Caenorhabditis elegans: one gene and its partner. The protein of the gene in region 1 interacts with the protein of each later gene in a pairwise test. Each region holds a gene or a part of one and is shown on either strand. Other genes may lie near its edges.

What was found.
Region 2: the proteins of R148.3 (region 1) and unc-10 interact in a two-hybrid assay, tested with the Caenorhabditis elegans proteins (one large-scale study listed by BioGRID).

What each region holds. Positions count from the first base shown.
Region 1 is NC_003281.10:3,167,163-3,183,658, forward strand, and holds R148.3 (DUF4476 domain-containing protein), read left to right. Parts: upstream 1-8,168; 5' UTR 8,169-8,218; coding exon 8,219-8,251; intron 8,252-8,407; coding exon 8,408-8,498; intron 8,499-8,541; coding exon 8,542-8,678; intron 8,679-8,722; coding exon 8,723-9,580; intron 9,581-9,654; coding exon 9,655-10,166; intron 10,167-10,524; coding exon 10,525-10,677; intron 10,678-10,730; coding exon 10,731-12,070; intron 12,071-12,687; coding exon 12,688-12,930; coding exon of another isoform or gene 12,931-12,947; exon of another isoform or gene 12,948-13,006; intron 13,007-15,805; coding exon 15,806-15,831; 3' UTR 15,832-16,483; downstream 16,484-16,496. Other genes in the region: R148.5 (PID domain-containing protein), read left to right, coding at 1-139, 1,113-1,325, 2,172-2,850, 3,311-3,395, 3,680-3,775; R148.4 (MARVEL domain-containing protein), read left to right, coding at 4,552-4,638, 4,751-4,990, 5,255-5,565, 7,314-7,488.
Region 2 is NC_003284.9:7,273,112-7,289,730, forward strand, and holds the start of unc-10 (Rab-3-interacting molecule unc-10), read right to left. Parts: upstream 7,212-16,619; 5' UTR 7,191-7,211; coding exon 7,122-7,190; intron 6,973-7,121; exon of another isoform or gene 6,834-6,972; intron 6,789-6,833; coding exon 6,739-6,788; intron 6,680-6,738; coding exon 6,546-6,679; intron 6,492-6,545; exon of another isoform or gene 6,407-6,491; intron 6,367-6,406; coding exon 6,296-6,366; intron 5,882-6,295; coding exon 5,694-5,881; intron 5,581-5,693; coding exon 5,244-5,580; intron 5,187-5,243; coding exon 5,042-5,186; intron 4,933-5,041; coding exon 4,844-4,932; intron 4,637-4,843; coding exon 4,581-4,636; intron 4,534-4,580; coding exon 4,352-4,533; intron 4,293-4,351; coding exon 4,193-4,292; intron 3,844-4,192; coding exon 3,671-3,843; coding exon of another isoform or gene 3,665-3,670; intron 3,618-3,664; coding exon 3,334-3,617; intron 3,235-3,333; coding exon 3,030-3,234; intron 2,982-3,029; coding exon 2,858-2,981; intron 2,801-2,857; coding exon 2,673-2,800; intron 2,627-2,672; coding exon 2,513-2,626; and 14 more. UniProt on the Caenorhabditis elegans protein: Regulates the efficiency of a post-docking step of the release pathway. Acts after vesicle docking likely via regulating priming. May regulate the conformational changes in syntaxin.

The DNA of each region.
Region 1 (16,496 bases):
AGAAGAACCACTGGGGTTAAGGTTCTCGAATGTCATGGATTTATTTGTACAAATGTGAAGGCAGCAAATGCATTGGTCAGGTGTATGGTGCATGCCTACACAGAAACTATGCATTTGAGAATGGACGAGAGGATTCCAGGTGAGGCTGTTTGTAACCAGAATATAGAAAATTTTATGACAAATACTTTCTTAGTGAACACTTTTTTATAAAATCAAATATATCCAAGATATAAGTGGTTAAAGTGGAGTGCGGTGGTTCTGGTCGATGCACCATGTTTGACTTATCACTTTGATTGCTATATATCTTGGTTCATTTTTTAGATATCAAGGAATTTATAACTACAAAATTATAGAGCCGAATATAAATAATATTTTGTCAGTTTATAATTTTTCCTCAAACCAATGAGAATCGAGATACAAGCGTTCAAAGTTGAATGAAGTTTTTCTGGTCGATACACCATGTTTGAATGATGACTTTGATTGCTTATATCTTAATTCTTGTTTGAGTTATTAAATAATTTATAACTACACACATTATAGAGCAGAATATGAAAAATATTTTGTCAGCTTATAACTTTTTTCTATGTCAACTGAAAATTGAGATACAAGCGCTCAAAGTTGAGCGCAGTATTTTTGGTCGATGCACCATTTTTGAATGATGCCTTTTAACGTTTATAACTCGGCTTATTCTTAAGTTATCAAATAGTTTATAACATCACAATTATAGAAAAAGATATAACAAGCATTTTGTCAGTTTATAACTTTTCTCTAAAATCAATGAGAATCGAGATACTAGCTTGTAAAAGTACTGGACTTTGGCGGCTCATATCTCCTTTCATTTTGACCCTTTTCTCAATTTTTTTCACAACAATGTAGAAATACATTTTTCAATATTTTGTCTGTTGTCACTTTTTTAAATAAAACCAAAGACAACCAAGATATAAGCGGTAAAAGTTGAGTTTAGTATTTCTGGTTGATGCACCATGTTCAAAATGTTCCCTTGGCAGCTCATATATTGGTTTGTTTAGAAAAAACATGTATATTTCGAAATATTAGAAAAATGTCTATTCATCATAAAATTGAAAAAGATAAATTTCAAAAAAAAATTCCAGGTCTAAAAGCAATCAAGGAAGGATCAACTGGTGACCGATCACCAAACTCCCCGTCCAGTGAGATTGAGGAAAACTCATTTGAGGAAGATGTAGTCCCGGAGGAGAAGAATATGAAAAATTGGCAAGAAAGACGGCAGCAGGACGGAGAATATGATAGTGTGTCGATTAGCAGCAGTTTGGTGAATAAGAATAAGAAAGCTGCTAGTGAGCAGGGTAGGTGACTTAGTATATTGAAAATATCTCTGTTCGTTTTTAAGATATTGGTGTTTGCTAAAATAAGTAACATTTGTGAGGCAGTGCTAAAAAATTTGTCAGTTGTCAATTTTCTAGTAAAACTAAAGACAATCGAGTTATAAGCTGTCAAAGATCAGCTAGCTCGATGCACAATGAGCAGACCTAGCTGTAACTGATCATATCTCAGTTCATTTTGAAGTTATTAAATTCTTTTTCAGTGCATTATTATAGAGAAATTTATAATAAACATTTACTCAGTTGACAATTTTTTGATAAAATAAACGACAACCGAGTTCAGCCAAATCAGCCAAAGACAACTGTTACGATGCACCATAAGAAAAATCGCGCCAAGCTTTGAGAGCTTATATCTCCGTTCATTTTAATTGAGTTATTGTTTGCAAAACTATAGGTATAGAAAAAATAATGATAAACATTTTGTCAGTTGACTAAATTTTGATAAAAGAAACGACAACCGAGTTATAAGCTGTTAAATGAAGGGAAAATTGATGCACCATGTACAAAACGGTGCCAGGTTTTGATCACTCATATCTCCGGTGATTTTTAAGCTATTCAGTTTTTTTCAACCGCAAAATTTTAGAAAAACCAATATTAAACATTTTGTCAGTTGGCAATTTTTGGATACAACAAACGACTACCGAGTTGTGAGCAGTCAAAGTTGAGCTAACCTGAGGCACCATGTTAAAAACGTTGCCTACCTTTGATTGCTCAAATTTCCGGTTATTTAAAAAAAAACCATAAAGATTTTGTCAGTTGACCATTTTTTGATTCTCTATTTTTTTTATTCTCTAATATTCTAATTTTCAGGCGGCATCCGCGGAGCCCTTGTCCCGTTCGACGAGCCCCTCCGCCGCGCTGGCTCCGACAATGATCTCTCCTATCGTGGACCCCCACCACATCATCCATACGGACCTCCTCATCCGATGCACCATCCCTATGCAATGATGCCTCCGCCATTCGGCTTCTTCCCTCCACCGCCACGTGGACACTTTCCACCTCCTCCACCACATTTTATGGGTCGAGGTATGCCCCCACCATTTATGCCTCCACCACCACATTTCGGTATGGGACCACCACGTGGATTTATGCCGCCCCCGCATCCAATGATGTTCCGAGGTGGACCATACCCGCCGTTCTTTCCTCCACCACCACCACATTTCATGAGGCCTAGTAGCCCACCGACTGATGGTGGACCAATTATTACTGGGCCAGAGTCGGTTTATGGGACAATGCGTCGAGGAGCTTATGAAGAGCCAGCTTATGTTGGAGCAACTGGAGGATTCCCGGAGGCTAGCTATCAACCGGCTAATTATGGTGGAGATGGTTATGAGACATATTATGATACATTCAAGAAGCGAGGAACACTGAAGAAGGGGGAATCGGCGTCGATGGCTTCCACGAGAGCCGATAGCGCCTGGGATCAATATGAAGCTGGGATCTATAGAAAACCACATATCAATGAGAAAGCTTTTTCGGGAACTTTGAGGTAAGAAAAGTTAAGATTGAACGGAAATTCACAGAGATAAGAGCATTAAAATTGACTTTGTGCATGGTGCTTTGTACATCAACTAGCAATACACTTTCTCAGCTCATATCGCTGTTCCGGTTGGTTTTATCAAAAAATTGCCAACTAACAAAGTGTTTGTTATGAATTTTTCTATAATTTTGTAGTTGATCAAATTTTGATAGCTCAAGAATCAGCCGAGATATGAGCAAGTTTTAAACATGGTGCATCGAGCAAATACTTTTTTACCACTTATATATTGGTTGCTTTCGGTTTTATTAAAAAAATTACCAACTAACAAAATGTTTGCTATTAATTTTCCTATATTTTTGTAGTGAAGCAAGTTTTGGTAAAATTCAAATGAGCCAAATGAGATATAAGTTTTTGAAGCTCAATTTTTCAACATGGTGCATCGATAGTGATTGATAACTTCAAATTCCAGATCAATGGCCGCCAAGGAGACAAGTAACGCTACGCTGAATCGATCGGAGCACGCCGAAGTTGCATCGCAAACGGTCGAGACGGAGGTAATTGGTTTTTTATTGATTTTCTAGTGAATTATCGATTTTTTAAATCATCGATTTTCAAGGAATTATTCGATTTTCTAGGAAATTACCGATTTTTTGGTAAATTAATCGATTTTTGGGGTAATATCGACTTGCTGAGAATTTATCGATTTTTCTTAGAAAGTGTATTCTAGAAATTTATCGATTTTCCGAAAAATTATCGATTTTTTGGTCTTTTTTTGGTACAATATCGACTTTCTGGGAATTTATCGATTTTCTCAAAAATTATTGATTTTTTTTTGCAGATAACCCGCCCCGACTCTCCACCAGTTGACTATGAAGCCTTTGAGAAGATGAAGCTAAAGGAAAATAGCCGACGCGCTGCCCAGCCCACTAATTAATGAATATTTTATCGATTTTTTCCCCTGAAAACCCATTTATTCTTTCTTCCATCCACTACAAAATTCTATAATAAACCGCCAATTACTGGTCTTGACAACAAAAGGAAATTGTTGAATTTTATTGTAATTTTTGAAAAATTCTTAATCTAGAACTGCCCCTGCCCCCTTTATTGTGCCTTTTTCTGTGAGTATTTTGACATATATTTATAATAAGCCGCATTCCTTGAATATTTATATTTAAAATAAAAATCTAATAAAAATTCAAATTTTTCCGAAAAAGTACGCAAAATTTCGTCGGGTTTGATGTATTGTACGCAATTTGCAGTTTTTGGGAGAATCGAGCGGTAGTTTAACTTGCGTATTTATATTTTTTCAAAAAACATGAAAACCATCAAAACTTGCGTTTTTGAGTTGTATTTTGATTGGAAGATCACTGGATTTCGCGTAAAATATCAATTTACGTCATATTTTGAGCTTTTTATAGTTTTGCTGAATATTTACTGCAAGACTAGTTTCTCTGTTTTTCTCAGTTTCCCCACAACAAAAACCACTTTGTTATCTGAAAAATCCATCAAAATCCGCGGATCAATCCGCAAAAATGCTGCAAAACTAGTTCTACCGTACCCATTCAAAGGCGCATTCGAAAAGATATTGCAGCGGGTCTCGACGCGAAATCCGCCACCGTATCCGTTTCTAGCGCGATTTATGAATTTAAAACCGATTTTAATTGATTTTCAACAGATTTTCGCCGATTTTTCGGCAGAAAATCGATTAAAATGTCAAAAGAAGCGAATTTCTCGTTTTATGGAGCCCTGCCAAGCTTCAAACCGACTCGACACTGCTGCGGAATCGTGGAAAACTCGGTAAACATTTTTTTTCACTTAAAAAGTCTAGAAAACCACGTGAAATCTCAATTTAGGGTCAAAATTTGTGAAAATGAACATAAAAAATCTAAAAAACATCGATTTTCTTCAGGTTCTCTATCTTCTGCTGACAGCTCTCACCACCCTCCAACTCATCGTCTTCATCGTAATTTTTATGCACCCGGAGCTGCGAAATATGCTCAATCTGAATCCGAATTTGAAGCAAAATCAGGATATTCTGCTTCTTATACTCACTGCAATGTCTTCTATATGGCTGCTAACTGTGCTGTTCAGTTTTGTTGGTTTTATGAAGAAAATCACCTATTCTCACTTGCCACTCATCGCTACTGAGGTAGAATTCGAGAAATTTGAGAATTTTAACCGCGAAATTCGAATTCCCGGTGAAATTTAACTAAAAATATGTTTTTTCCAGAGAGATTTGCAAAATTCTGCAATATGTCGTCAAATTCGGTGTTTGCGTATTTTCGACGCTACCGTACCCCGCGGAATTCAAATTTCTAGTGGGAAACCCGCAAAAAACGTGGTTTAAGGGTGAAATAGCACTGGGAATTCGAATTTTTCAATGAAAAATTCTCAAAATCTCTAAAATAAAAAGTTTCTGGTGATCTTCTGTCTCGTCGCGACCGCCCTGTTCGCCGCCTTCACTTGGTCAATTTCACCGTCGGATTATTCGAAAATTCCCATTGGAAGCTCGCCGAAAAACCGAAATTTTCAACTTTTCAAGCTCATTTTCTCACTGTTTATGGCACTTTTCCACGTGTACTACACGTATATAGTGTATTGTTTGTGGAGAGACGGCAGAAAAGAGCAAAAAACCGAGGAATTTATTCGAAGACAACATATGATTGATGAAGTTTGCGAGGAAATGTTGTGGGAAGAAGACGAGCGAAATTATCAGGAAAATAGGTAGAAAATCGATAATTTTCGTGTGATTTTACTCTAAAAATTCGGATTTTTCGCTTAAAATCGTTAAAAATCACATAAAAATTGAGTATCGAGAAATGCGCCAGCGAAATTCAGAATTTTGATGGCGCAACTCTTGATACAGTTAACATTTCGCGGTTTTTGAACGAAAATCGATAATTTTCGAGTGATTTTTTCTTGAAAATTCAAAATTTGTACTAAAAATCGTAGAAAATCAAATAAAAATTGAGTATCGAGAAGTGCGCCAGCAAATCTTGCTGGCGCATTTCTCGATACTGAAAATTTCGCGATTTTTGAACGAAAATCGATAATTTTCGTGTGATTTTACTCTAAAAATTCAAAATTTGTACTAAAAATCGTAGAAAATCACATAAAAATTGAGTATAGAGAAATGCGCCAGCGAAATTCAGAATTTTGATGGCGCATCTCTCGATACAGTTGAATTGAGTGATTTTCAATAAAAAATCGATAATGTTCATGTTGATTTAACCCTAAAAATTCAAAATTTGGACTAAAAATCGTAGAAAATCACATAAAAATTGAGTTTAGAGAAGTGCGCCAGCAAATCTTGCTGGCGCATTTCTCGATACTGTGAAAATATCGCGATTTTTGAACGAAAATCGATAATTTTCGTGTGATTTTACTCTAAAAATTCAAAATTTGATCTAAAAATCGTAGAAAATCACATAAAAATTGAGTATCGAGAAATGCGCCAGCAAAATTAAGAATTTTGTTGGCGCATCTCTCGATACAGTTGAATTGAGTGATTTTCAATTAAAAATCGATAATTTTCATGTTGATTTAACCCTAAAAATTCAAAATTTGATCTAAAAATCGTAGAAAATCACATAAAAATTGAGTTTAGAGAAGTGCGCCAGCAAATCTTGCTGGCGCATTTCTCGATACTGTGAAAATATCGCGATTTTTGAACGAAAATCGATAATTTTCGTGTGATTTTACTCTAAAAATTCAAAATTTGATCTAAAAATCGTAGAAAATCACATAAAAATTGAGTATCGAGAAATGCGCCAGCAAAATTAAGAATTTTGTTGGCGCATCTCTCGATACAGTTGAATTGAGTGATTTTCAATTAAAAATCGATAATTTTCATGTTGATTTAACCCTAAAAATTCAAAATTTGATCTAAAAATCGTCGAAAATCACATAAAAATTGAGTATCGAGAAGTGCGCCAGCAAATCTTGCTGGCGCATTTCTCGATACTGTAAAAATTTCGCGATTTTTGAACGAAAATCGATAATTTTCGTGTGATTTTTCCTTGGAAATTTAAATTTTGCACTAAATATAGTAGTATCGAGAAATGCGCCAGTAAAATTGTAAGCTTGCTGGCGCATTTTTTGATACAGTGACAACATCGTCTGTTTTAGGTAAAAATCGATAATTTTCTAGTCATTTTACAGGAAAAATTTAAAATTTTGGCTGAAAATCGTACAACTCACTAAAACTAAGTATCGAGAAGTGCGCCAGCCAATTTCGTTGGCGCATTTCTTGATACAGTACCAACTTCGAAATGTTTACTGAAAAAAACCTTATTATTTTAAAATTCTCGCACAAAATTACGAATTTTTCACAATTTTCACCCAAAAAATTCAACAAATTTTGAACTTTTGGGTGGAAATTTCCGAATTTTTCGAATAAAAAATCAATTTTTCACACTTCCAGTAGTGAAATAACCTGAATTTTCCGATTTTTCAACTAATTTTTCTCTCAGAACCTTCCCAATGACCGGAATCTACCCGCAGGACCGCTCAATTTCCACTTATTCCGAATCAGAATGCTCAATTTCAATGTGCTCAGCCGAAATTCGAATCAATGAAATGTACGCCGCATATCTTCAGGATCAACGTTATTTCGACACTTCTAACTATGGAAAACGCAATTATTAGGCGGAAATTCGAATTTTTCTCTCACTTTTTCTTTCATTTTCCCGTTTTCTTCTCAAAAACTGTGAATTTTTCCTGTGAAATTCACCAAATTTCCCTATATTTCCCGGATTTTTATAATTTCTGTGTTAATAACCCCAGTTTTGATTTTCTACTTGCCATTTTTCACTTGTGAAACGAATAAATTATCGATTTTTAGACCGGTAAATGTGGTTTTCAGGGAGTTTTGGGGCAAAAATTAGATTTTTTAGCGGTTTTTAATGAGTTTTCTAGTTTATTTTTGAAAAAAAAACAAAAAAAAGTTTTGAAGGGAACAAATGCTAAATTTTTGCAAAGTTGTTTTAAACCGAGTTTTCTCTAGTTTTTATTAATTTTCTTGAATTTTCAGTCAATTTTTAAGTTTTTATTGCAATTTTAAACTAACTCGTTTCATTTTTCTCCTATTTACATTTTTTTTTCAGCTTAAAATGAAAAATCCCCCAAAAAAAAATAAATCCACAAGCTCTTAACTCTGTGCGGCACCATTGCGGAACACCGTGCCGCTTGCTTGCAAATGGGCGGGGCCTAGCTTCAATACACGTGTCTCAACGGTTTTCCACATTTTTAACGTTAAAAAACTGAATTTTCTCCGATTTTTCTCAATTTTTTTCCAAAAATTTGTTTGAAAATGTACATTTATTGATTTTTGTAGATAATTATCCACATTTAGCGGGCAAACTCCGCGTTGTATATAATGGAACCGCCCAAATTGTTGGGGGTTGTTTTGGTGAGTGTTTTCTCGATTTTGGAGTAGAATTTGTTAATTTTGAGCGAGAAAATCGAAAATTGAATGCGTTTTTAGCCTTGGAATCATGGAAAATCGATTTTATTGCGAAAAAAAACTGAATTTTTACCAATTTTCCGCTAAAATTCAATTTTTCAGACAACCGCCCTTCTCTTCCATATCGCTTTAACTGCAAAGCAGGCAGTTGTATCCAGAAAGTCAAAATTATGCGGGAATGTCGAGTGTGAAGGTAATTTTTTGCCTGTTTTCAGCCAAAAATCGAATTTTTCCAGAGGTTCTATTCAAAGCACGCGTGAAACGGGTGATGGGCATCAATAACGATCCGAGTTTTCTGAATTTGGCCGAAAACGCGATTATTTCTGTGGTGGCCGTCAAGTTTAGCGATCGGCCCGATATTATGGAGGGAAAAGTGCGTTTTTTTGACTGAAAAAGTGCTAATTTTAAAATTTCCAGCTCAACGGCGAGGGTTCGAACGGGTTTTTCTACGCCGGAGCCATCGACATCATGCCATTCGCAGAGTTTTTGCGTACAGCGATCACTGATAAGAAGGAGATGCTCATGATCAGTCAAAACCCGGCAGACATCGGTGATAAGCGAATCGTCGGATTTTTGCACTCGGAAACCGATTTGGTACGGGATTTTAACGCTAAAAATGCTCAAGCGGCTGCGGAGAACGGGCTCCCGGCTCCCGAGCCGATACCGATCCCGGAACCAGCTCACACGGGGCACGGACATAGCCATGGAGGCCATGGGCACAGTCACGGAGGTCATGGACATTCTCATGGGCATCCGGCTCCAACTCCAGCTCCAACTCCGGCTCCAAAACCTATCGAAGAAGCTCCAAAGCCAGCCGAAGAGCCCGTCAAGCCTGCCGATCTGGAAATGGACGCAGAAATCGAGCGGCTCATTAAGGAAGAGGAAGAACGCATGAAAAACGTCGCCGAGCAGCCTCCACTGGTGCTTCAATCGCTTCCAGAGACCCCAGAAGCCCAGAAACTTCCAGAAGAGCCCCTAGAGCCAGTCACTCCTGAGCCAATACCAGAAGCTCCGGTTCCAATTGCTCAATACATCCAGGAGCCGACGACAACTCCAGCTCCTCTGGAAGCTCCAGCTCCAGTGGAAAATGCTCCAAATCTCCCAACTCCAACCTTTTCTGTGGATGATTTGATGGCTCAAGCGGCTCGAGACGCTTTGAATTCGAATTCTATAGTTCCTGATGCTCCAAAAGTTGAAGAGCCCGAGCCCGCTCCAACTCCAGCACCAGCTCCAGCCGAAGATCCAGTTGTAACCCCGGCTCCGGAAGAGCTCACCGTAAGTTTTCATTTTTGTGTTTTTTCCGCGTTTTTCCATGTTTTTGCCCCGTTTTGTGACGTTATTGTTGTCAGGGCGTCTGCTACAAAGACGACTGTCAAGGATTGCAGACACCTCCGCCACCAGCTCCACCGCCACCGGCTCCAGCAGTTCCAGAAGAAGCTCAAGCTCCAACTCCGGCTCCAGAAGAAGCTCCAGAAGCTCAAATCCCGGCTGAAACTGCCCAAATTCCACCGGAAAACGCGGTCCCAGAAGCTCCAGAAGAGCCGGCTCCAACCACAACACCACCACCAATTTCAGCGGGAGAAGCCGAATTCTTGAAATGGGAAGAAGCTCGTCAGAAACGAGAAGCCGTCGCTGCTGCTCCGTACGAAGATGCTCAGGCTCATCAATTTGTCGCCTCACCGCCCCCGCACGTCTCCTCGGGGCTCATTGAGCTCATTCGTAGCTCTCTTGGGCTCGGGAATATCACGGATTCATCGGTTTTGCTCGTTGTGAACTTGACGTTTGTAGCTGCGAGTTTTCTGGTTTATATCATTATCAGAAGCTTGTCGTCGGGCGGAGAATCTGATATTTTGGATAGACAGTGAGTTTGCAGGAAGAAAATGCGCAAAAAATGAGCCCAATCATGTTTTGTAGATTTACGGGGTGGTTTTTGTAGATTTACGAAGCGTATGTAGATTTACGGAGCCTTTTTGTAGATTTACGGAGTCTTCGTGTAGATTTACGGAGTCTTCGTGTAGATTTACGGAGCCTTCTTGTAGATTTACGGAGCCTTTTGTTGTAGATTTACTGGGCTTTAGTAGGTTTACACGGCTTCTTGTAGATTCACGGAGCCTTCTTGTAGATTTACGAGGCTTCTTTTCAAAGTTTCCTGTTGATTTACGCACTCTTAATAGCTTTTCGCTCTTTTCACCGAATTTCATTAAAATTTCAATTTTCAGGGCTCATTTCGACCTCATGAACAAGCACAAGCAGCTCCAGCTCCAACTCAATGCTAAAATCACCGAAATCCAGAATCTACAGGCTAATGGAGCCGCCGCTCAACGCCCAGAGCAACCGAATTATGAGCCAGAGCTTCTTGCATTGAGACAACAGTGAGCCGACTATAAAAATTGTCATTTTTACCCCTAAAACTCGTAATTTTCAGACTTGCTCACCTTCAATCGGAGCTCCAAACCGCTCATGCTCAACGTCAGGAATTCGAGATTCACTATCATCAAATTCGTGAGCTCGCCGAGCAAAAGGATCATCAAATCGCGCAGCTCACCGAGCAGGCCAACGACTATCAGGAACGACTCGAAAAATCGCAATCCGAGCTCCAAGAGCTGGCTCGTCACGTGGATTCGGCTCGCGCAGAGCTCATGGATAGTCAGACGTCGGATTACGGTAGACAGCAGGAGCTGATGGAGAAGCAGGCTGAGCTCGAGCAGATTTACGTGAAAATTGATAATTTGACGGCGGAGAATCGAGATTTGACAGATAAAATTGCTCAGCTTCAAGTATCAGATAGCCTAGAGCTTGAGGAGCTTGAAGAGCTTAGAAATAAGAATTTGGAGCTCCAGGAGCAAGTTAAACAGCTTAAGGAGGAACTCGAAAAGGAGAAGAGTGTTGCTGGATCTGGAAATTCGGGTGGATGGTCGGATATTGATGATAATGAAGTTGTTGAAGCTGTGCAACCCATTGAAACAACTCCAATTTCATCAGAAAACTCGGAGAATTTGAAGAAATTCGAGGCTGAAATCGCGGAGCTGAAGGCAAGCTTGGAGAAAACCGAGAAAGAGCTCACAAAGTACCGTAATCTGTACAACGAGAAGCTCACCGCAATCAGTGATAAGGAGAATCGGAGCCAAATTGAGATGGAGCACAAGTTGAAGAACGCAGAGTCGGATTTACAAGAAGCCAAGCGGCGAGCCGAGGAGATTGGAGCCGAGAAGAAGGAGCTCAGTGATCGGCTCAATGAGATGCTCAAAAATTTGAATCAAAGTATGCAAAAATCGGCGGAAAACGACAAAATGCTTACACAGCTTAGAGAAGAAGCGTTTGCAAAGGAGAAGCAGCTTTTGGAGCATGATTCTGTGCTCCGAAAGAAGGATGATAAGATTCGAGAGCTCGACGCAGAGTTTAAACGTGTGAAAATGGAATATGTGAAGCTCGAGACAAAGAGTTTCCACGATGTTCGAAAGCTTAACATGGACGTTGAAGAGCTCAAAACTCAGCTCTCAATGGCTGGAGGTGTCACGAGCTCGCGGAGCATTCCAGATCGCCTTGTTTCTCCACTTCAGGAGCCTATTTGGGATGAGCCCGAGCCAGCACTGCAGAGAGTTGTTTTACCATTGGATGGATATTCATCGATGAGAAGACGATCGACACGTCGGAGCCAGTTGCCGTTTGGAGCCGAGTCACCGTCGGATCAGGAGAAGAAGCAGGCGGCGCCGAGTCATCGGAGACGATCGAGAAGTCATGGAAGGCAGCCACCCAGTTTTCATGGTAGAATATTTGCGCATTTTTCTGGAATTTTCCGACTTAAAATGCTCAAAAAGTTGAATTTTTGCCTGAAAATTTAATGAAAATTCGTTAAAATTGAAATTTTTGAGCAAAAACCTGAAATTTGAGTGCTTTTCTCGTTGAGCTTTTGCCGGAAAAAAATGCTCAAAAATATTGATTTTTCACTAAAACCCTGCAATTTATCGAATTTACGAGCTAAAAATGTTCTCAAAATTTGGCTTGAAAAACTGTAATTTTTCCGATTTTTTCAGGCTGAAAACAAGAATTTTCACAGTTTTCTGGTGCTTGCTTCGAACTGAAAATGCTGTAAAAACTAAAAATTTCGCCTGAAAATTTACGGGAAATGCACAAAAATGTGAAAAATGACGTAATTCGCTCGATTTTTTTGTAATTTTCACAGAAAAATCGTTGAGTTTCAATAAAAATGCTAGAAAATTTCATTTTCGCTCGAAAATTTATCAAAAAATACTTTTTCCTTCTAAAAAAAGCTCAATTTTCGCTCAATTTTCAGTTTAAAAAATTGAAAATTTGTGATTTTTCACATAAAAATTATGAAAAAATTCAAATTTCCCCCAATTTAATATCCGAATTTCTTGCAGATCCCTATTCAATGAATCCATATCTGCCCGGCTCATCGGATTCGAGCTTTATGAGCACATCTCAGCCACAATTCCTTCCGCTTAACCGTCAACACAGTCGAAGTGGACATTTGATGAGCAATTCGGCGAATGGACCATATTCATCGGGTGGCTCAAACGGTGGACGGAGCCCACCACCAGAGATGCCGCTGCTCAGCGCGATTCCACCGCCAGGAGCACGAAAACCGCTTGGCAAACGGCCAGGTACTGGCGAATTTTGATTTTCTCTCGGTGAAAATGGCCCCGGAAACTGAAAAAATCACGATTTTTGGCTAAAAATGTATGAATTTCAATAAAATTTCAAATTCTGGCGATTTTGAGCTAAAAATGTCATTTTTCCAAGGTTTTCTACTCCAAAATTGTCGAAAACTGCAAGAAAGTTGAAAACAATAACTATTTTCAGATTTTTGAGCCCCAAAGTACTCGAAAATGTGGAATTTCCTGTGAAAAATTCTATTTCTTATCCGAAAATGCGAGTTTTGGCCAAAAAATCGAAAAAAAAACTGAAAATAGTGTTTTTTCGCAAACTTCCTGCTAAAAATTCGGAAAAAAAACTGATTTTTACCCGAAAATTTCTTTAAAAATGCTAAAATCTGGGCTAATTATCTTTTACTATGATATCTTTTACTTTTTTACCTTTTACTCATCCATTTTATCGAAATTATCTTTTACTCATTTACTCATTTTTTTTCAAATTTATTTGTTTTATCTTTTACTCATCCATTTTGAAAAAAATTATCTTTTACTCATTTACTCATTTTTTCCATTTTTTGCTAAAAATCAGTTTTTCGGGTAAAAAAGTTGTCAGGAAGCCGATTTGGGACCTATATTTGGCCAAATTTCTTTAGTTAATGATAAGGTGATCGTTATCTATTAGATAAAGTACTCCGACCACCCATCCGGTCTTCACTAGTCATATATCTCGATATGTATATTCAGGCAAAATTATTGAGAAAACTGATGGAGTCCTTTCTGAAATGTCTTTAATTGATGGAATTAACAGTTTTTATCGCTCATCTACTCAAGTTTTCCAATTTTAATTTTTTATCTTTTACTCATCATTTTGAAAAAAAATTATCTTTTACTCATTTACTCATTTTTTTGAAATTTTACCAAAAAAAGAGTTTTTCGTGTAAAGAAATATTTTCAAGCCGATTTGGTTGATCAAACTGCTCAGTTAACGTTGGTTAGTGATGTTCTATAGATAAACTGTTGGAAAAAATTTTCCAACTTAAAAGTTGCCATTATATCATCAAAGATCCAGACAAGCAAGTTCAAGTGACTATGTGGAGTCTACCCACTCAAAAATTTTTTTTTTCAAAAATCAAAATTTTGAGAAAATTGATGAAGTTCTTCCTGAAATGCATATAATAGATGAAATTAACCGTCCTGAAAAAAATTTACTACACTTTAACTGGAATTTTAACCAAGTTTTTGCCGATTCAGTTACCCAACGTAGAATTTTGAGAACACAAGAGAACACAAACTTATATCAGATCATTTGAAGAAGTTCAAAAAAAATTCTGAATGGATCCGGATTCGAACCAGGATTGTTTCTACTGAAGAGCCCGCGCTTTACCACTTCACCAAACAGGTGAGAGGCGCCCTCGTTTCAAAGCTATATATGAAATCTGTTCCATCTTGAATTTGGTAACTCAAATTGACAACTCTTCATGATAACACGAAAGTATTCTATTCTGGAATGTTGTGCAACTATTCTTATCCACAGCTAACTTGTCCTAATTGATCTTATCCATAACGGGAATGTAGCTTATTTGATTTTGTAGTCTTAGAATGTGCCTGTATTCTTCAGTGAAACCCTCCCGGCGGCCTAAAATGTTTTTAAAACTATTATTTCCGAGTATATTTTTCTAAACTTCACTAGATAACAGTTTGGGAATTTCTGTGATTCATCGAAAAAGCCTTTTGCGAAAAAATCATCGTAGGCCTAAAAATTTTTCTCAAAAACACCTCGAGTCTTGTATTTTCGTGGAGATAATATGCTCAGTAATTTTTATAATTTTTTTTTTCATCAAAAGCCCTGTTTTCATGTTTAAAACGTCTTTTATTACTATTTTATTCCTTTCAAAAATCGAAATTAAAAATTGTTCGGAGTACGGTAGACCTCGGTGTTTGCGTACTTTTGCGTACGGTGCATTTTATTTGACGACAATTTTATTTTTGAAAGGAATAAAACCGCAAAAAAAGACGTTTTAAGCTCGAAAACAGGGCTTTTGATGAAAAAAAAAATTTTTGAGTGGGTAGACTCCACATAGTCACTTGAACTCGCTTGTCTGGATCTTCGATGATATAATGGCAACTTTTAAGTTGGAAAATTTTTTCCAACAGTTTATCTATAGAACATCACTAACCAACGTTAACTGAGCAGTTTGATCAACCAAATCGGCTTGAAAATATTTCTTTACACGAAAAACTCTTTTTTTGGTAAAATTTCAAAAAAATGAGTAAATGAGTAAAAGATAATTTTTTTTCAAAATGATGAGTAAAAGATAAAAAATTAAAATTGGAAAACTTGAGTAGATGAGCGATAAAAACTGTTAATTCCATCAATTAAAGACATTTCAGAAAGGACTCCATCAGTTTTCTCAATAATTTTGCCTGAATATACATATCGAGATATATGACTAGTGAAGACCGGATGGGTGGTCGGAGTACTTTATCTAATAGATAACGATCACCTTATCATTAACTAAAGAAATTTGGCCAAATATAGGTCCCAAATCGGCTTCCTGACAACTTTTTTACCCGAAAAACTGATTTTTAGCAAAAAATGGAAAAAATGAGTAAATGAGTAAAAGATAATTTTTTTCAAAATGGATGAGTAAAAGATAAAACAAATAAATTTGAAAAAAAATGAGTAAATGAGTAAAAGATAATTTCGATAAAATGGATGAGTAAAAGATAAAAAAGTAAAAGATATCATAGTAAAAGATAATTAGCCTAAAATCTGATATTTCATGCTCCAAAAAAATGGAAATTTTTCAAAAATTGAGGTTTTCGGTCCGAATATTGCCGAAAAAAGTGCAAAAAATTTAAAAAAATCGATTTTTTTTTTCAGATTCTGCTCACCATCTTGGCAAATAGGACACTGGATGCTGCTCTTGGATTTAAATTTTTTTTTCTTGTAATTTTCTTCTTTTCTTTTAGATTTTCTATATATATATATATATACCCATTTTGTTCTCTTCTCTGAATGTTTTTCCCCTTCAATTTATCGATTTTTTCGATTTTTCCAACCAAAAATCGACCAAAAAGTGTCTTAAATCATATCAAAAAGCTCAACTTCGCTTCGTTTTTTCTTGTTTTTTTTAACTTTTCTAGAATTTTCACCTGAAATACGAGTTTTCCCACCTCTAAAACCCCCTGTCGCCTTATTTTATACCAAAAATTCAAAAAATTTGAGGCAGAAAGCGCGCTCCACTGGTAATTTTCGCGGAAATGCGATAATTATCACTGGAGCGCACATGCTCTTTGAATTTTTATTGATTTTTTTCCGACCGAAAATGTGATTTTTCTGTGGTTTTTTTTTGTGCTCCCCCCCCCCAGCCGACTAAAATTGAAATTATTTTCTTCGTGTATAGCTAAATAATATATATATTTATTTATTGATTGGTGTTTTTTTTCTCTGTGAAAAATGAGTTTTTTTGTGAAATTTCCGGGTTTTTTTTTTGGTGGTTGTGGTGATGGTTTTCATGCCAATTATTGTATTCTATAAATTTCCTGGAATTTTGAATTTTCTTTTTTTCGCT
Region 2 (16,619 bases), on another chromosome or scaffold:
ACGACCGACAACCTGACCCGGACCAAGATTGTCGACAAATGTACCAAGAGGACCATCAGCGAGCACTGGAAGCCAACTGAAAATTACGTCACTCAAAAACACGAAGTTACCATTGGCGTGCAAACTTGTCTGAGTGAGCAGAATCAGTGCTTTCCTTGCTGGCTTGCTTCAGAAAGGGAGGAGTGGGTTCGGTGAGCCGATCTGAAGACAAGTTTCCGGGAATTCCAACTTCCTCAGATCTAGCAAAACCGGTTCTTTTCCCTTCTGTAAAATATGATTGATAAATTTACATAACATGTCATGCTTATGCATACCTGCTCCCCTTCCTGGTATAAAACGTGTCATTAAACTTTTCTTTCGCTCCTTCATCACATTGTTAGCAGCAGAGCCTCCGCCTGCCACAGATGACGAACTTGCCAAAGAGTTTTGTTTAGTCTCTTTGATTGGGACTCGGTTAGTGTTGGCAGTGGGAGTTTCAGCAAAAGAAGTATTGTCATTCGAAGTATTGTTTGCATTCATGTTTCTCCTATTGACAGTTGTCATTCTGGAACATATCACGTTATCTTTTGGTGCTCATTTGTTCATTTTGTCTAATAGCTGCTCATGCGTTTGATTTTTTATTGAAAAAACAAGTAAAATAGTTGGAGCGGTATTTCATACCTAATTTAGCTGATATATATTTAACATCTTGCAACATAACTATAAATGTAAGACGTACGTAGTTGGCATGCTATTTGTTGAATGCACACTTAGCGTTTCACTTCCATCACTATAATATCCCTGGTTAGGCATTGGAGGCTGCATTTGTTGCATTTGTTGATTCGGTTGTTGTGGGTGCTGCTGTTGTTGAAAGCCCTGATGGTGTTGGGGTTGTACTCCGGCAGTCTGTTGCTGCTGATGAGCTTGCGACAACGGATGTGGCTGGTGTTGCTGATTATGCTGTTTTGGCGTCATCTGGCCTTGCGAAATCTTGTAGCGTCCATCTTCGTACAACGGCTGATCACCCAAGTAATATTGCGAGCCATGTCGAACACTATAAAGCATAATACAAGCTGCTTGGGATGCATTAACAATTAATGTTTATAAGTTGAGAAATAAAACGTATTTATATTTTAAATACTGCTCAAAAGTTATTGTTCTTTATTTTCATAAAATATATCTGAATCACTACACTTTGAAGCAAGTATCTGAACATAAATAACTTACGATTCTCTCATTGAGTACTCATTGTCATCCCGATGCTTCCTTGTTGGATCGTACATATCCTCCCTTTCCACTGAAAATAACTCAAACTCTTTTTTTCCAAACATTCAAATTTGATGAGGACTCATGAATAATTTAATAGGTGAAGCCCGACTCTTTCAACTAATCTGCACATTCATGACGTAACTCTCACATGCATTTTCTGTCACCTATTTTTTACACACTTACTTTGCGATAGTGCGGTTGCACTACGCGGACGTCTTTGCTGTCGTCGGTTGTAGGCTCGACCAATCATGTTTTGCCTTCCATACCCATGATCAGATGTGTAGCCTGATTGACGTTGGTGGTTTTGTGTCCAATCAGCATACCCATGTCCACCGTGCATCCCTTTCTCACGTCTATATGTCCTGCTCTTCCGCGCGCCACCGCCTGTCGCCAGGTCAATGTCGTTCTCAAGCTCGTCGTCGTCAATGTATTCATCATTCTCCTCGTCATTTGGGGCAAGATGATGATGATGCGGCTGCTTGTCTATGTTTTGACTGATGTGGTCATAATAGTTGGAGGAGTGATCGTAATAATTGAGCTCCGACTGCGGACGTCGTGTCGGTGCGTTGTATGACGCTTTTCTCAATTTTAAACGCTGCAAAAAAGTGAGAATAATAACATGGAATTTGAAAATACTAATTACCGTTCTCAGCGGGTTATCGTCATCCATATCAACAAGAATGCACATGAGTGAATGTTCTCCATCAAGTGGCACTGACGCCAAATCAATCAATGTCTCGCCAAGAAAACTGTTTGTACCAAATTTGTCGTAATCCCAGACAGTTAGCTAAAAAGTTAAGTTTCAGTATGCAAACAAAATTTAAAAAGTTAAAAACAAACCTCTAGTACTCTTTGCAACAACATCGGTTCAGTAAGGCCATTATAGTAAAAAACTTCATCCCAAACTGGCATGAGTGTCTCTGCTATAACAGCAGACTGCCGTCTAGATTTTTCACTTCTATCAGGCAGTAAAAATATTTTCACATATGGGTTTCTGGGAGTCCCGTCGGATCTTGGTGGTAGATCAAACCCACGAACGAGAGCAACTGAGAGTTGTCGATCATGATGAGAATACACAAATGAAACTTCTATTCGTCCAAATATGTGTCCTGTTCCAAAAGCTTGGCTCTCCTGCATCTCCCTATTGCTTGGAACACCAAGGTCGGGCACATCTAGAAAAAAATCATGATGACATTTTAACAAAATGTGAACTATTTTTCATCAAAAAAAAATATCTACACCAAAGTTAACATGGTTAGAATACCTGAATAATAATAGCTTGATGTCGAACGATTGCGTGAAGTCAATGTGTTATTATGAGGGAATACGGCTGATTGTGAATGTGGTAATGATAATTGTTGTAAAGCGGGATGTATGTCTGAAAACAAATTATTTAATTCTGAAGTTCTCAGTTCTAATTGTACCAAGAAAAAGGTCAGGGTTGGGTAATTGACGCTGAAATTGAGATGGATATGCAGATGGCACTCTTGAATACGCCGAGGATGACATTTGTGAGGGAGTAAGGTTGAGGAAGTCGTCACCTCCAGGAATACTGGAAAGACGAGATTTAAAAATGTTGACAGAGTTTAAAAATAAAATGTATATTTACATTGCACTCCTACTAACAATCAGCTCGACAGAAGTATCATATCTGCTTGCAGCGATGCTATCATATACTTGTTCATATGTGGCATTTTGCAGAGACTGTCCATTCCATTCTACTACTTCATCGCCTGAAAAAAAAGTTGAAGAAAAAAGTCTCTCACTTCAAAACTCATTACCAGGACGGAGTCTTCCAATGGTGTCCGCCACACTGCCAGGCTTAACTTGAGTAATGAATGCACCGAGCTTCCCGGTATCCGTTCTTCGGCCGCCTACAATTTTTAAACCGAGATCCCCGTTGGCTGCAGAATTTTCAGTTCGATGAAGTATCATGTGCCCTATTAATTTTTTCTGATCAGCAGAAGGTTGCCATGTTACAGGATGCTGAAAACATTGCCAATTGGAAACTTGTCAAACTTTTAAACTTTTTTTTTTGAATATGTAGGACATTTAGTTATAATTTTTGTATCAAAACAGGCTTACTGATAAAAATGTTCGTATCCGTGATGCCAACAAATCTCCGCCAGATATGCTCCCTGTTCCAAAATGATCATTTCTCGATGGTGACAAGGACAGCGATTTGTCACGCCTTCGATTAGCTTGCATGTCTAAACCCCCTTGGTAAGACCCCTTCAGTAAAGCATGTGATTTACTTTTCAGCACGCTGTTTCCGCTCAAGACACCGCCACCACCACTGCCGCCTACACCAGCGCCCAACGACGATGAATCCGAGTTTTTATGATCGCCATAAATATATCGAAGGAGGTCTGAAAAACTCATCAAAATGTCAACATGGGATTTCAAGAGTACGCACACAAACCCTTCTCAGAATTGCATTCCTCGGACAACCTCTGCACATTCGACGCTCCCATATCATCATGAAATGCGGTTTTCCCACCAGAGGCCACAACTGCTGACGTAGACATCTTCAAAGTGTTACCACCGCCTCCAGCAATAATATCCTCTTCAGAAGATGACATTGATCGAAGTTGCCTTCAAACAATTACTTTGAACAAATAAAATGAAGAAGAATGTATGACAAAAAATGCAGTTTATGTGAAATTGAACTACTGATGAAGAGCGAAAAAAGCTAAATGAGGCAATGCTCATTAAAAATTTGCATTGAAACCGAAAGGCGCTCTTCTGGTTTCTGTTTTGCTGTTGGTTTGACTAAAAAAGTGATCAGCAGAACAAAAAGGAAGTCATGCTAAATAATGAGAAAATGGAGACGTAACTGGAAGAGGGAAAGCAATGAACTCAAAGCTTGAGCACTTAGTACAAAAAAGACATTACTCAATTGAGTTTGTCTATTTTTTCCATTAGCCAAATTACACTTGCTCACCTATGCAATCGATTTTTCACCCGGTTCAAATGGTCGTCAGTAGAAGGACATGCTCGCACGCCTTGCGTGTTGGACTGACTCTGTGAAGAGTTGTTCCGCTCTGAAATTGATTCTCAAAATAGAATTTAGCAAGGTATTATCGATATGATATCATCTTACGTTTCTTAGATTCGAAGTTTGACGAACTTGCATAATCCTCCTCTGTTACCCGGCTGACTGTGTTTTTTCTAAGATTTCGGTTGTTTTGGTTCTGATTCTGATTATTTTGTTGTGAGCCCTGTTGCATTTGGCCATCAAATTGTCTTTGGTCATTCTCGGAATTTCCAGTGTAGAACGTGGGTCTGAAAGCAAGTGGGTATCAAGTTTTTAAACTTTATGGGATACTTACCGCTGGTTCATGCCATCATCCTCAACGTGATTGTATTTGTTCATGGGCGTAGTTTGCTAAATTAGAAACAATTTCGTTTTTTTTTTCATTTTAATATATTTTTCTACTCTGAACTTTGTACGACAGTACTGTAATTCTGACCAAATTTTCCGCTCTAGATGATTCTTCACATTTGTTCATTACTTTTACAGAAGTATCACCCTAATAATAAGCTGCTCAATCTTTTTTCAAAAGCTCGTTTTTGATATCCCTGATCCCTTCACCTCTAATGACGGCTGCCTATTGAACATTCCTCCTTGCCCGTTAGTATTCTCTCTCATTCTGTTGTTATCCGTCCGTTGTTCATTCATTTCTGAAATTATCCAGACTATATCAATTTGCGTCTCGTTCGCAATTTTAGCGCACAACACTTTTTTGTTTTGTTTTTCACTTTCTCTTTTTATACCCCTGGAGGCTCTTACGTTGATGATGCTGCTCTTGTTGTCCATGTTGATTATGGTGTTGATGTGCCGCGCCTACGTTGTTTTGATACTGACTGGGCTGCTGTTGAGGCGTTTGTTTCATAGTTCGAGAGTCATTTGTCCTTTGTTGGTTTTGGGGGCCAGTCTGAATTATTTACATGTAGAATTTGAAATAATCGTGGAACTTTCCAACTTCAAGTACCTGGTTTCTCTGGTTTTGAGTCATATTCTGATTGTGGCTCTGTTGTTGATTTTGGTTTTGATTCATCTGATTTATCTGATTTGCCTGATTTTGACTCATTGGCTGTTGTTGCATAGCTCTTCGATTATTCTGTTGATGATTGTTGGCTCCTTGATGATTATTTTGAACATGATTTTGATTTTGATGCGGGTTCTGCATTTGATTCTGATTGTGGTTTTGATTTGGATGTTGATTTGAATTTTGGTTCTGATTCATGAAATTCTGCTGAGTTTGATTATGATTTGGCTGCATTCCCATTCCACGGGGTTGTTGGTTGTTTTGATAATTTGGAGTGTTCCTGAAAATATGAAAATTAGTCTGAATTGTGATTGATTGAAACTAACGCTTCAAAGGAACATGTAACAATCAAACACAAACTTGGAAAAGTAAAAGAAACCGGAAGAAACTCACATTTTATCAGGCGGCTCTGCTCGCCTCTGCTGCGGTTCTGGTACGTTGTCGTCAGTTAGTGGTTGGGGCGAAGGGCTTGGCTCGGAGCCGCTAATTTTCGGCTGCGGCTGCTCTTCGGGTTGGAACCATTTGCCTGTTTTGGCAAGAATTTGTTGACGTTTCTGGCACAACGAACAAGCCCAGATTGCCTGAAAGCTTTTTACTTCTTCTCTTCAATTCACTTCTCTACTTTTTTATCGGTCGGTGCACCCACGGGGCTAATACTTTCTATTTATCTCTTTATTCCAAACTACTTTGCAAACAATGGATGCTATTGTTTTTCAGCTTCTGTCGTATTTTTTTAGATGTAAAAACGATTATTTCGCTTGATTTCCAAATTAGATTCATTAACTATAAAATTAAACATGATTTTATAATAAATTGTAAAGTTTAGATTTTTTTTGTGAAAATATAAACATTGCAACATCATATCGCAAAAATGTTCAAGTCGATTTTGCTCAAATTGGTTTTTATTCTGTTATTCAAATGCAGTCATCCAGAATTTGTCCTTTCTCTTTCATGTTTCCCCTTATTTCATCCCACACTTTCACTCCCGCTCGTACCTTATTTTTGCTCTGTGCTCTACCTCCACATCTGGCGCAGCTACGCAATTGACAATAAAAGCACTTGTGGCCTGAAAAACCTCTCATCTTGTGCTAAATTGATGTCCTTTTAGAGAGACGATGACAGCCAAGGGTTAGGGGCTCTCTGACGCCGCGGAGAGAATTACTAGGAACAGAAAACGAGGCTCATCTCAGGGCGACAGAAGGACCCTTTGCTCTCATCGCTTCTTCAGGAAAAGGAACAACGTACCAATTCCGTCCGCAAATTTGGTCTTCTGACAGATTTGACAGATCGCGTCATCTTGTGTGCCAACCAGCTTTTTCGATGTTTCTTTCCGCTCCGTGATCTGTTTGTCTAACTCTGACAATTCTTCAGATGCTTTTCTGGAAAATCATTCGCATGAAGAAATACCAATGCAATTATGTGTCTACAAAACTCTTACTGTGATATTTGTGTTTCTTTTGCCTCCTCATCTTTTTGTCGTTTGAAGACCTGCAAAAAACATAAATCATGAGCGTTCTGAGTGAGTATTCTCTATATGTATGTGCACGCATGATATCATGCCAATTTTCTTGTCGAATGTACATAAGAGCACACACTCGTTTGATTGCATATCCATTATTTTGCGTGTGCTCACGGCGTTGTAAGTAATACCCCTCCCCTTTTCTCGCTCTTTCACCCCTCGGGGGGCCCGTCATGCTCCGAGACAGAGGACTCACACCGCACCAACTACTTTTTTGAACCCCACAAGAAGCAGACGGATGGGCAAAATGAACGATGGGGGGGGGGGGGGGGGGGGAGGGGGTTCGTGCTGGAACAACTCACATTTTCTATTATTTCACGTTCTTCTGCAGATAAATGGGATAAATCCGGCATCATCGACGGATCGTCCATGATTATATTTAATGAGGCACTGAAGTTTGATTTTTAAGGTAATAAGGAGTTATTGCATCATGTGAAATCATAGCGTATAAAAAGACTAAAGCGCGATAACAATCCGAATAGAAAGAATAGAAACGAATTTGTTCGGTTTAAGAGTTGTATGTCAATAAAGGCCAACAAGAAAACAGGATCAACGCTGAAACAAAAAAAGAACAGCGTCAAAGATGGGGAAACCGAGAGAGGAAAAATAAGAGCGTCCGGGATTAGAAACGTTGAAAAATGACGCCTTTTCCAAGACATGAGCGCCCAGTAAGACTGGATGTGGTCATTTTCGACGACGACGTCGATGAATACCGTGGGAAACTCGGGACATCCAAAAATAGTCTTCCTCTTCTTTTCTTTACTGCTATCAAGAACTTTTTGCAAAAAAGAGAAAGAGAGCACTAAAACGGGAAAGGAATAAGAAATAAGCGTAGGAGGTGGGGAAGTGGGAAGCGAAGGAAAACGGGAAAAGAAAAGGAATAGAAGGGTGATGGATATTGGGTTCGCCAGGTTTCGCCATAAAAAAAGGCCAACCATGGACAGGTAAAGGTTCAAGCTGATGTTTGAATTGACAAAAAATGGACAGCTTGTGCAAAGTGGACAAAAGCATGTAAGAATAAAAAGCAAAATTCGATGCAAGATTAATGATGCACAAAAGGAGACATTCATTTGAGACAATGAATTCATGCTCGTTTCCCTGAGCACGGAAAAAAGACAAGGTTTGAAGATAGGGGTGGGGGGAGCCTCCCGTATCCGTAAGGAAAGAGAAAGAGGGCGAAAGGAAAAACGGAGGTGAAACGGGAGGAAAAGAAAAAAGACAAGGCGCGCCCAGGAGGAAAACCCGGGCGAATGCGATATAAGCAATGAATAAAACAAGGCCACGGATAGCGAATAGTTCATGTTTTACTCAGAGCTCTTCTAATAAATAAATGGATGTGTGTAGATGGGAGGGAGGGGTTTAGGACTCGGGGGCTAGCGGCGTGTGGCGACTGATGCGCAAACGCAGGGTGGAGAAAACGACGAAGGGATGGAGCAACGCCCGCAAAACACAAAAATGCTCCAAAGGCTCTACCCTTCTTTTCTCCCCCAACCAGTCTTCTCTCCCTTTCCATCCCGAGATGGCTCTATGTGGCGTTTGTGCCAAACGTTGACAATTAGCAACTCAGCGGGCAGCTTATCCAATATGCTCAAGATTGCCAAGTTTTGTTCTTTCTTCGTTGGAGGGCCTCCACACATACACACACATACACACGCAGGCCTCAGCCTCAAATTGGATTATCTGTTCATGAATGCATAGCAAAGAGAAGTATAAAACGACAGAAAAAGAAGACGAAGGAGGTGAGGACAGGGGACAGACAAACAGGGAACAGGACGAGGGATCACCTTTCCAAAAAGTTCACGCCCCTTCAATGCCCTTTCAGATACGTTCAGAATTCCTACTAGGACTATGAAGTAACTAATTATTAAAACTCACAGCAAAAGCAAAACATTTTTGTTCAACAATCGAACAAACTTTTCAAAAAAAGAGAATATTAAACATTCGCAACACTTATATATCCATATCCATATATATATATATATATACTATTTTCCTATTCCATCGGCTGGATTTCTAAATGTGTTATATGAAAAGAGTTTTCACGATTTGAAGATTAGATTAACTATGAGAAGATATATAAAAGGCGGACAAAATCCGTTATGAATCAATTCATATAGCTGACAAGAAACAGAATTAACAAACTTCTAGATGGGTAAATGTGATGTTTCAAAGATAAAGATTACCTTTTGGAAGTGCATTAATACTTTTCAGATTTGTTATATATCAGAGACATTTGAGAGTTCTTGTTTATTAGCGGAACGCTATCGGAACGAATTTCAAAGTTATGAATGTGAAAACGTAGTACGGTTTTCTTGAGGACAAAACTGTTTCTGAACCTAAAAATAAGGCATTCAAATCACATTTCATCAAATTGGACAAAGTTTGAAAAATGAATGACAATTTAACATATTTTCAAATTGTTTTCAAACTCTATCTGTTATTTGAGTGATCATAATATAAGTATACCTATAAAAACCCACTACGAGATAAAACAATTGATTGTTTTTTACTTATGTATATGTTTTTGTGGTTATGGTAAACATAAAATGTTCCTGAAAACAATTGAAGTCACATCAAAATTATTTAATACTATTACTCTTAAAATATGCACTTTTAAAAACACTATATTTGAAATACCCAAGTTGCGTGTGTGGGTTTTTTACATTTTTCCTTTTTAGGCTTAGAAATGGTTATTTCCTAAGCCCAAAAATACAAGAATATGCTTCACGTTTTCATTTTTTTTATCTTAAAAAATTACTTTTAAAATGAGGGCATGTAATACACAAGTACCCGTTTTTCTTATCTTTTAATAATTTTTGCATAATTTTGAAAGTTATTGTTGCATTTTAAATATATAATTTTGGAATAACAACTTATGAAATCCAGAAAGTATTTTTTCAGATTCAAAACTTTCTCAAAAGTACGGAAAAAAATAGTTCACGAACTGAGCAAAAACTGTTTGAAAATAGCATGGAGATGTTTCAAAGTATATTAAAAAATAAAATAAAAATTTATTTTTGTTTTAATAAAGCTATTTACAAATTTTAAGTTAAAACCTAGAAAAACTACCATCGAAAATTTTACAAAATTCAAACAGAGTCAATTTCTCAGCGCAGTTCGAATGTTTCAACGTATTGGGCAAGAAAAAGTGGACGTGAGAGAAGGCAAAAAACATTCCGTCAATAACTGACATCACTCAACTATTGCGTCTGCAAACATTCGAGCAGGGAAAAAGGTTAGGAAGGACCCAGAAAGGGTCTTGTGTCGTTGTCGCAAGAATGTATGTCCATTTATGTGTGTATGAAAATTTTCAAAAAAAAGACAACGAAAGATAGAGAGAAATTGGTAAAAGGTTTTCCCTGGCAAAAGCTGACAGCAATCAGTGGTCCACTGACAATGTGGGTAAAACGTGGGATTCGTAAGAAAATAAAATATTTTTTGGAGGGCACAAGGAAAAGAAGTGCATGTGGGAATACTGATGGAAACAAAGGTGCAGAGAGTTGTGGAAGAATAGAAACAGACTGCGCATGTTTGTACTACAGAGAAGTGCTCTCTTTTTTGGGTGCAAATTGAATATTTCAGGTGCAAGGGGAAGTGAAGTGAAAAAACGCAAAATGCAATGGGTCAAAAAGCTATATTTGAAAAAAAAACTACCGGAGTGGGAGTTAAAAGTGTTATATTCTACTTTTAATAATCATGTATTTTTAGATATTTTTAAAGGTGGAATAGACACACTCATCGCGCTTTTAGAATTTGCTTTTTAGATTTAAAATGAGTCAAAAGTACCGGATTTTGTAAAAATTCCAAAAATTAAAAAAAAAAAGTTAAGGAGGTTCAAAGTTTCGGAATAAAACTTACTTTCAGCTAAAATCTAAACATTTTTTATTTTATCAAAGTCACAACTCATGGAAGTAATTGTATTCTAATATCACTCTCTCTCTCCATAATATCACTATGCATAATTCGGAAATTGATTAAGTTTTGTTCCGTTGATTAAGATTGTTTTTGTTTTAATGTCGATGGGTGCACAATGTACAAATGCACTTCGGCACTGATAAATTGGAAAATAAAGATTTTAGCTGAAATTTAGCCTTGTTTTCCGAATACTTTAATCCGGCATAACTTTTTTTTTAATTTTCAGAACGACTTGTTTCGCAATCAGATAGTTTTAGACTTTTTTCGGTATAAAAGAGCAAGGCCACAGATTTCGGTACTTTACCGTCTGAAAATTGTTAGCTCGATTGCCTCAATGCAGCAAAAAACAAATGTTCGTTCTGATTGAAAAAGATCAGTGAAGAAATTATAGGGGTCTATTTCGAAAGGTATTAAAAAAGCTTGAATCCTATAATTACATGCTAAATTTTCTTTTACACTATGTGCATTTGGTCTAATATCTTATAGATTAATAATATGTTTAGAACCTGGTAATTTTGAGGAAAATGATGCAATATAATCAATGGAGTATACATCGGGATACATGAAAATTTCGGAATGTTTTTATTGGGTACTAGCTATCTGCTTAGTTCATAAAGCTGGTTTTTCTATAATAAACAGTAACGCAAAAATGCACGAGCAAAGTGCCTAAATACAAAAAGTGAGATGAGGTAGGGAAGGAGCAGTGAGGTTAGAGTGCAGCGGTGCATTGCACCAAAACTTTTTCTTTTTTTTTGAGACAAGCGTTTTTGGCTCATTCGTGTTTGGTGTGTACGGCACTAGTCCCTCTCCTTTTCTTTCCATTTTTCTTTCTTGCTCCCTCTCTTTCTCTCCCTTTCAATAACAAGGAAAACGGCCGCGCGGGACTAAACGACAGAGCAGTAGGAAAATAAAAAGAAGAAGCAAAAGTAGAGGAAGCGGCAGCATCTCAACGAAAAGAAGAAAAAGAAGACGAAGAAACGAAGCTCGCGCTCTCTGACTTGAGATCTCATCGATTCTCCCCACAATTCCGTGAAGCACGACTACTTTTCTCTCTCTGCTTGTTTTTCATTTTTCTTTGCTCTTCACTTTCTCAGTCCTCTTCTTTCGCAGTAGTGTTTCCTAGCTGCTCCAGCTTGCCTTTCTCGTTCTCATTGAAAATAAACCGAGATGGAATAAGAAGAAGAAGAAGAAGAAGAAGGAGGAAAAAAACAAGAGAAACGGAAGAAGGCGTTGCGAAATGAACTTCCCCAAAGGAGACGCAGCTTCAGATTCATGTCCGGACGGCTACTACTACGACTACTATTACTATTTCGTCGCTCTTTTCCTCTGATTTCCAATCCAGTGCGATGCGGAAGAAGAAAAGTTGACAAAAGTTGTAAGCGCGGCGAAGCGCTAAGTTAATATTAATTTCCAGCTACATAGCATTGTGTTCATATGAAAACATATTGTTTTCTACCTTTATTAGAAATTAACTACCAAAATTTCGTGGATAAAAATAAATGAAACGAATATTCATAAATTAAATATTACATGTTTACCTACATATGTATGAGACTTGTATCTCATTTGCTTCAAGTTGATAATTTACACTTCGGTTTTAATTGGTTTTATCAAACAAATTGTCAACTTTTTGAAAATGTGCAAAACAGCTCTTATTTGTTGGTAGTGAAACACTTTTTGATAAAATAAGACATCCGAGATATAAGCCGTCAAAATGGAATCATGGAGTGGGGTGCAAGTCTAATAGGAAAAACTAGAAAGGTACTTCCAATTTTTTGCACGAATTCTTACACAAAATGATAGTTATAGTGTTGCGGAAGTTTGTTGAATAAGTCAAAATATGTTTGATTTTGCAGTTCACATATCAAAAGATTTTTTATTCGGCTTTTCTATTGTTTTTTTTTCGAAAATAAAAGTTTTCATCAATTTTATAAGTTGTATATTTTTGGCCAAATAAATAATAAAAAAGGTTCCACAAAAAGTTATTTTATTGTTACAACCTTTCAGAAACTTTGTCTCAATGAAATTTTTCACCCATAAAAAATTTATGGCATGGGAAGCTCATAAAAGAAAATGAAAAAAAGAGGAAAATGAAATAGAGTATAATGATGAGAGTATTTCCAGTTTCAAGTTTCGTTTCTTTTCATTCATCTTCCAGTCAACTCAACTATGCAAGAGTAACAGATGAAACGGATACTTAAAGGATCCAATTTTGCGCCCTCTTACAAATGAAGAATGTTGTCTCATTCTGTGTGTCTATTGGAAGCATCTCATTTCTTTTCTAATAGCAATTGGACGCTAATCGCTCAAGAAATTTAATAAATTGTTGTTTCATACAAGACAGAAAAATATAAATTTATCAAAAGAAATTGACAAAATACCGTAGTTATTTTATCAGTAACAGCATCAACCCGTGTTCCCCTAGCCAATTAGTCGTAAGAGATAGTCGTAAGAGTTTTCAGTGTTTCAATTTTTTTTTCAAATTAAGGTTGATTCTTTTTAAATACTGTAATAATTAATGATTATCAATTAGTTCTTTGCTGACACTATAAAAATTTTGAACTCCTTCTACCAGCCGATTCACAGCCCAGCTACACAGATTCAAAATATCAAAATTTCATTAAAGTGTACAACTTTTCAAAAACTGTTCTACTTTGTCGATTTCCATAGTAACTATCGATAAAAACTCGGTAATTCTTATGATTTTGTTGTTTTTCAGTTAAAAATTTTTTAAATTAAAGTTTTATTATGAAACTTCATTTTACCGCCGTACGATTACTGTATTGTGCAAATCCCCCCACTGAAAAGACCATTTTTCGAAAACTTATACAAAAATCAATATAATTCAATTTTTGCGTCAATAGGGAGTCATTGTGAATATATTATTGAGAAATATATTCAAATTCTTGATTTGGCTTTTGCAACAAAAAATTGATGCAATACTATTAGAAATAATATGACAGATTGTACAGATGAAAAAAATCCAAGAAAACCTCGGAGAATTGACATGCTACATCATTTTTATTTGCTGCTGCTCCCTGTTCAGTTATCGAAGAGTGGCAATCAAGAAAAACGAGCCTTTTTTGTTCGTCACAAACAAACACCCCAGACCCATCTCTGGCCAAACACAAAAAGGACCTTGTATATCTGATGTCACTTCTCAACTTTGCCTTTTTGGCACATCTCACCAAATGTCACATCCCAAATGTTTGAAGGTCTGAAAATTGACAATGATGAAAATGGGAAATGAAATAGGAAAATGAAGGAAATGTAAACCTTTGCCAACGGGAGCGCATCAAATTTCATTTTCATCATTTGTGCAAGAGTTTATTAATAAATTATTGTTGGGGCTAGGAAAAACAAAAAAAACACAGGGACGGAATTTCTAAACACAGACAAAAATCAAAACAAAAATTACAATTGATAAGTCTTTCATTCCAAACAAACACTTTGTGCTGGTGGTGAGTTTATTGTTAGTAATTGCATTATTATTATTTTGAAGTAAAGTTTAAAAACATATTTTACAACAGAAGTGGAGATGTTAAAAAATATGAGATTAATTTAATATTATTATAAGATATTAGATTCTTAACAATTGAGTCAACGTTATGATTTTGGAATATGGGATTTTATATGATTGCACTCATAATAGTTCAACATAACCAAATATTATCAATTAAAACATCAAACATTGTTTTTCTTAAGAATATTTTAGACAATGTTTCGGTAATGTAGCGAATATTCACAAAATATGGGTTTTTACGGATTTCGTAAACGTTAAAAATGATAATGTACAAATACAAATTATTGAAACGTATTTGAGTTTCGAAATTTAAAAAAAATATGTGTTCCTTGGTCGACTTCCAAAGGTGAACACTTATTAATTGCCATGTTTTTCTGTAAATTTAAACAATTCTAGTTATACTTGAAAATGTCAATTTTTTTTTAAATAAAATTGATTTAGCCTATATTTCTGTCAATAATCATACACCTCACAATCAACTCAACTCTGGTAGCTTATATATCTTAAATTTCAGACAAACAATATTTTATGGTAACTAGTAGAATCGACATATGACATAAACTACCACTATTCAAGACTCAGCAATTTCCAAATGTTAAAACAAAAACCATAGTGTACTTACTTTAGTCAGTGAATATTGAAAAAAAAGTAACGGTAATTTAAAAACACACATTTGTTATTTTAGTGAGTCTTGCAATTTTTGGCAGTTCACTTGCTACAAGTTCTGTTTCATAAAAATATTTGTTTAATGTAGCAAATAAAAGTCATAACATTTTAATATCATGGAAAATGCAAAAAAAAACAGGATTTTCTGAGAAACTGATAGACCCATGTTTTAAATCTTTACGTTCCTTGTGTATTACATTCCCTCATACTTGAATAAAAAAGAATTTTCATTAATTTTCCCATTTAAGTTAAACGTGATATATTACACGTTTCCTCTTTAGACTTAGAAAAGTTATTTCTTATCCTTGAAGATATAGAAATATTCCACACGTTTTTATTTTTTATAATAAAACAACTTTTTAAATGACAGCGGGTAATACAAAGGGTAATTGTCTTAAAATATTATTTTTTGTCAATTATCAGAGGAGCATTCAAGAAGAGTGCATTCAAACCCATAATTGAGAATTTACCGTATCTAAAAAAATATATTAGATACCTTTATTTAAGTAAACTCATTCGTAATGAAAATCAATCAATGTTTGAAAATTTAGAATAATGGTTACATATTTTCGAGGGTATGACTACTATAAAAGAATTATATTGGGCTGATTGTTTAAATTAAATTGTTTTCGCTCAGATTTATTTTGTGAGAAATTGTTATTTTTTAATTTAATTATCAAGTGCTTTTTTTTTAATACAATGGCTTTTTCATTCAGATAGACACAAAATTTCGAGCCACTTCTTTTATATAATTATTCTACAAACAATTCAAGAAATAAAATTAAAAAATATATATCAAGTATATATTGACAAATTCCAACTTGAAAAGTTTTTGAAATTTGCCTTGCACAAACAACAAAGTAGAAGTAGAAAATGTTGGAGTGCAGGCGATCGGAACATGAATGCCGGGAAATTAGGGTAACGTGTCGTATTTGCTCAAAACTCAATTTTCAAATTTGAATGGATTACTGTAAAGAAAAAATGGACAGACATAGAATGGATAAAACGGAATGTTTCCTTTCAGAATCTCACGTTTCGGTTTGCAAAATTTCAAGTTTGAAATAAGTTTGATTTTTGCTGTGCAAAGCATGTCCTTTGAGTGTTTGAATTGCTTTTGAAAATGTGCGAATCATACAGAAACATGTTGTTAACTTCCGTTAAATGATTATCAGTTCAATTCAACAAGATTGAATATCATTTTAAAAAACACTCTTTACTATTAGATTTTTCAAAAATTTTGAAATTAAAAATTCAAGGTCAAGGTTTTGTACGGTAAACTCGTTGAAATTTTATTCGATTGAATTTAAAAATGTTGATAGGCGGAAATTGAGCTTTGGGATTTTTTGACTATCAATAAAAAATGTCATTATATAATTTTTGTGGCAATTTTTAGGATGATATTTGAATATTTTTGCAATGAAGCGGTTTTAGACAATTTTCCAACCGACGATACTTGACTTTTCACGCAAGAGAACTCTGCTAGATTGCAGCTAATATTAACAGACAATAAAGAAAAATCCTCACTAAATGGAAACTTTTCAAGGTCGACAAAACCCGGTCAAGTACAACAACACGGAGACCGTCTGTGGTTGAGGGAGGGAACGGGACAGAACGTACGTTTCCTCGGTTTTTCTTCGAATCAATTGCCGCCTGCACACCACCACTCTACTCAATTGTCGTAAACGAGCACATCATT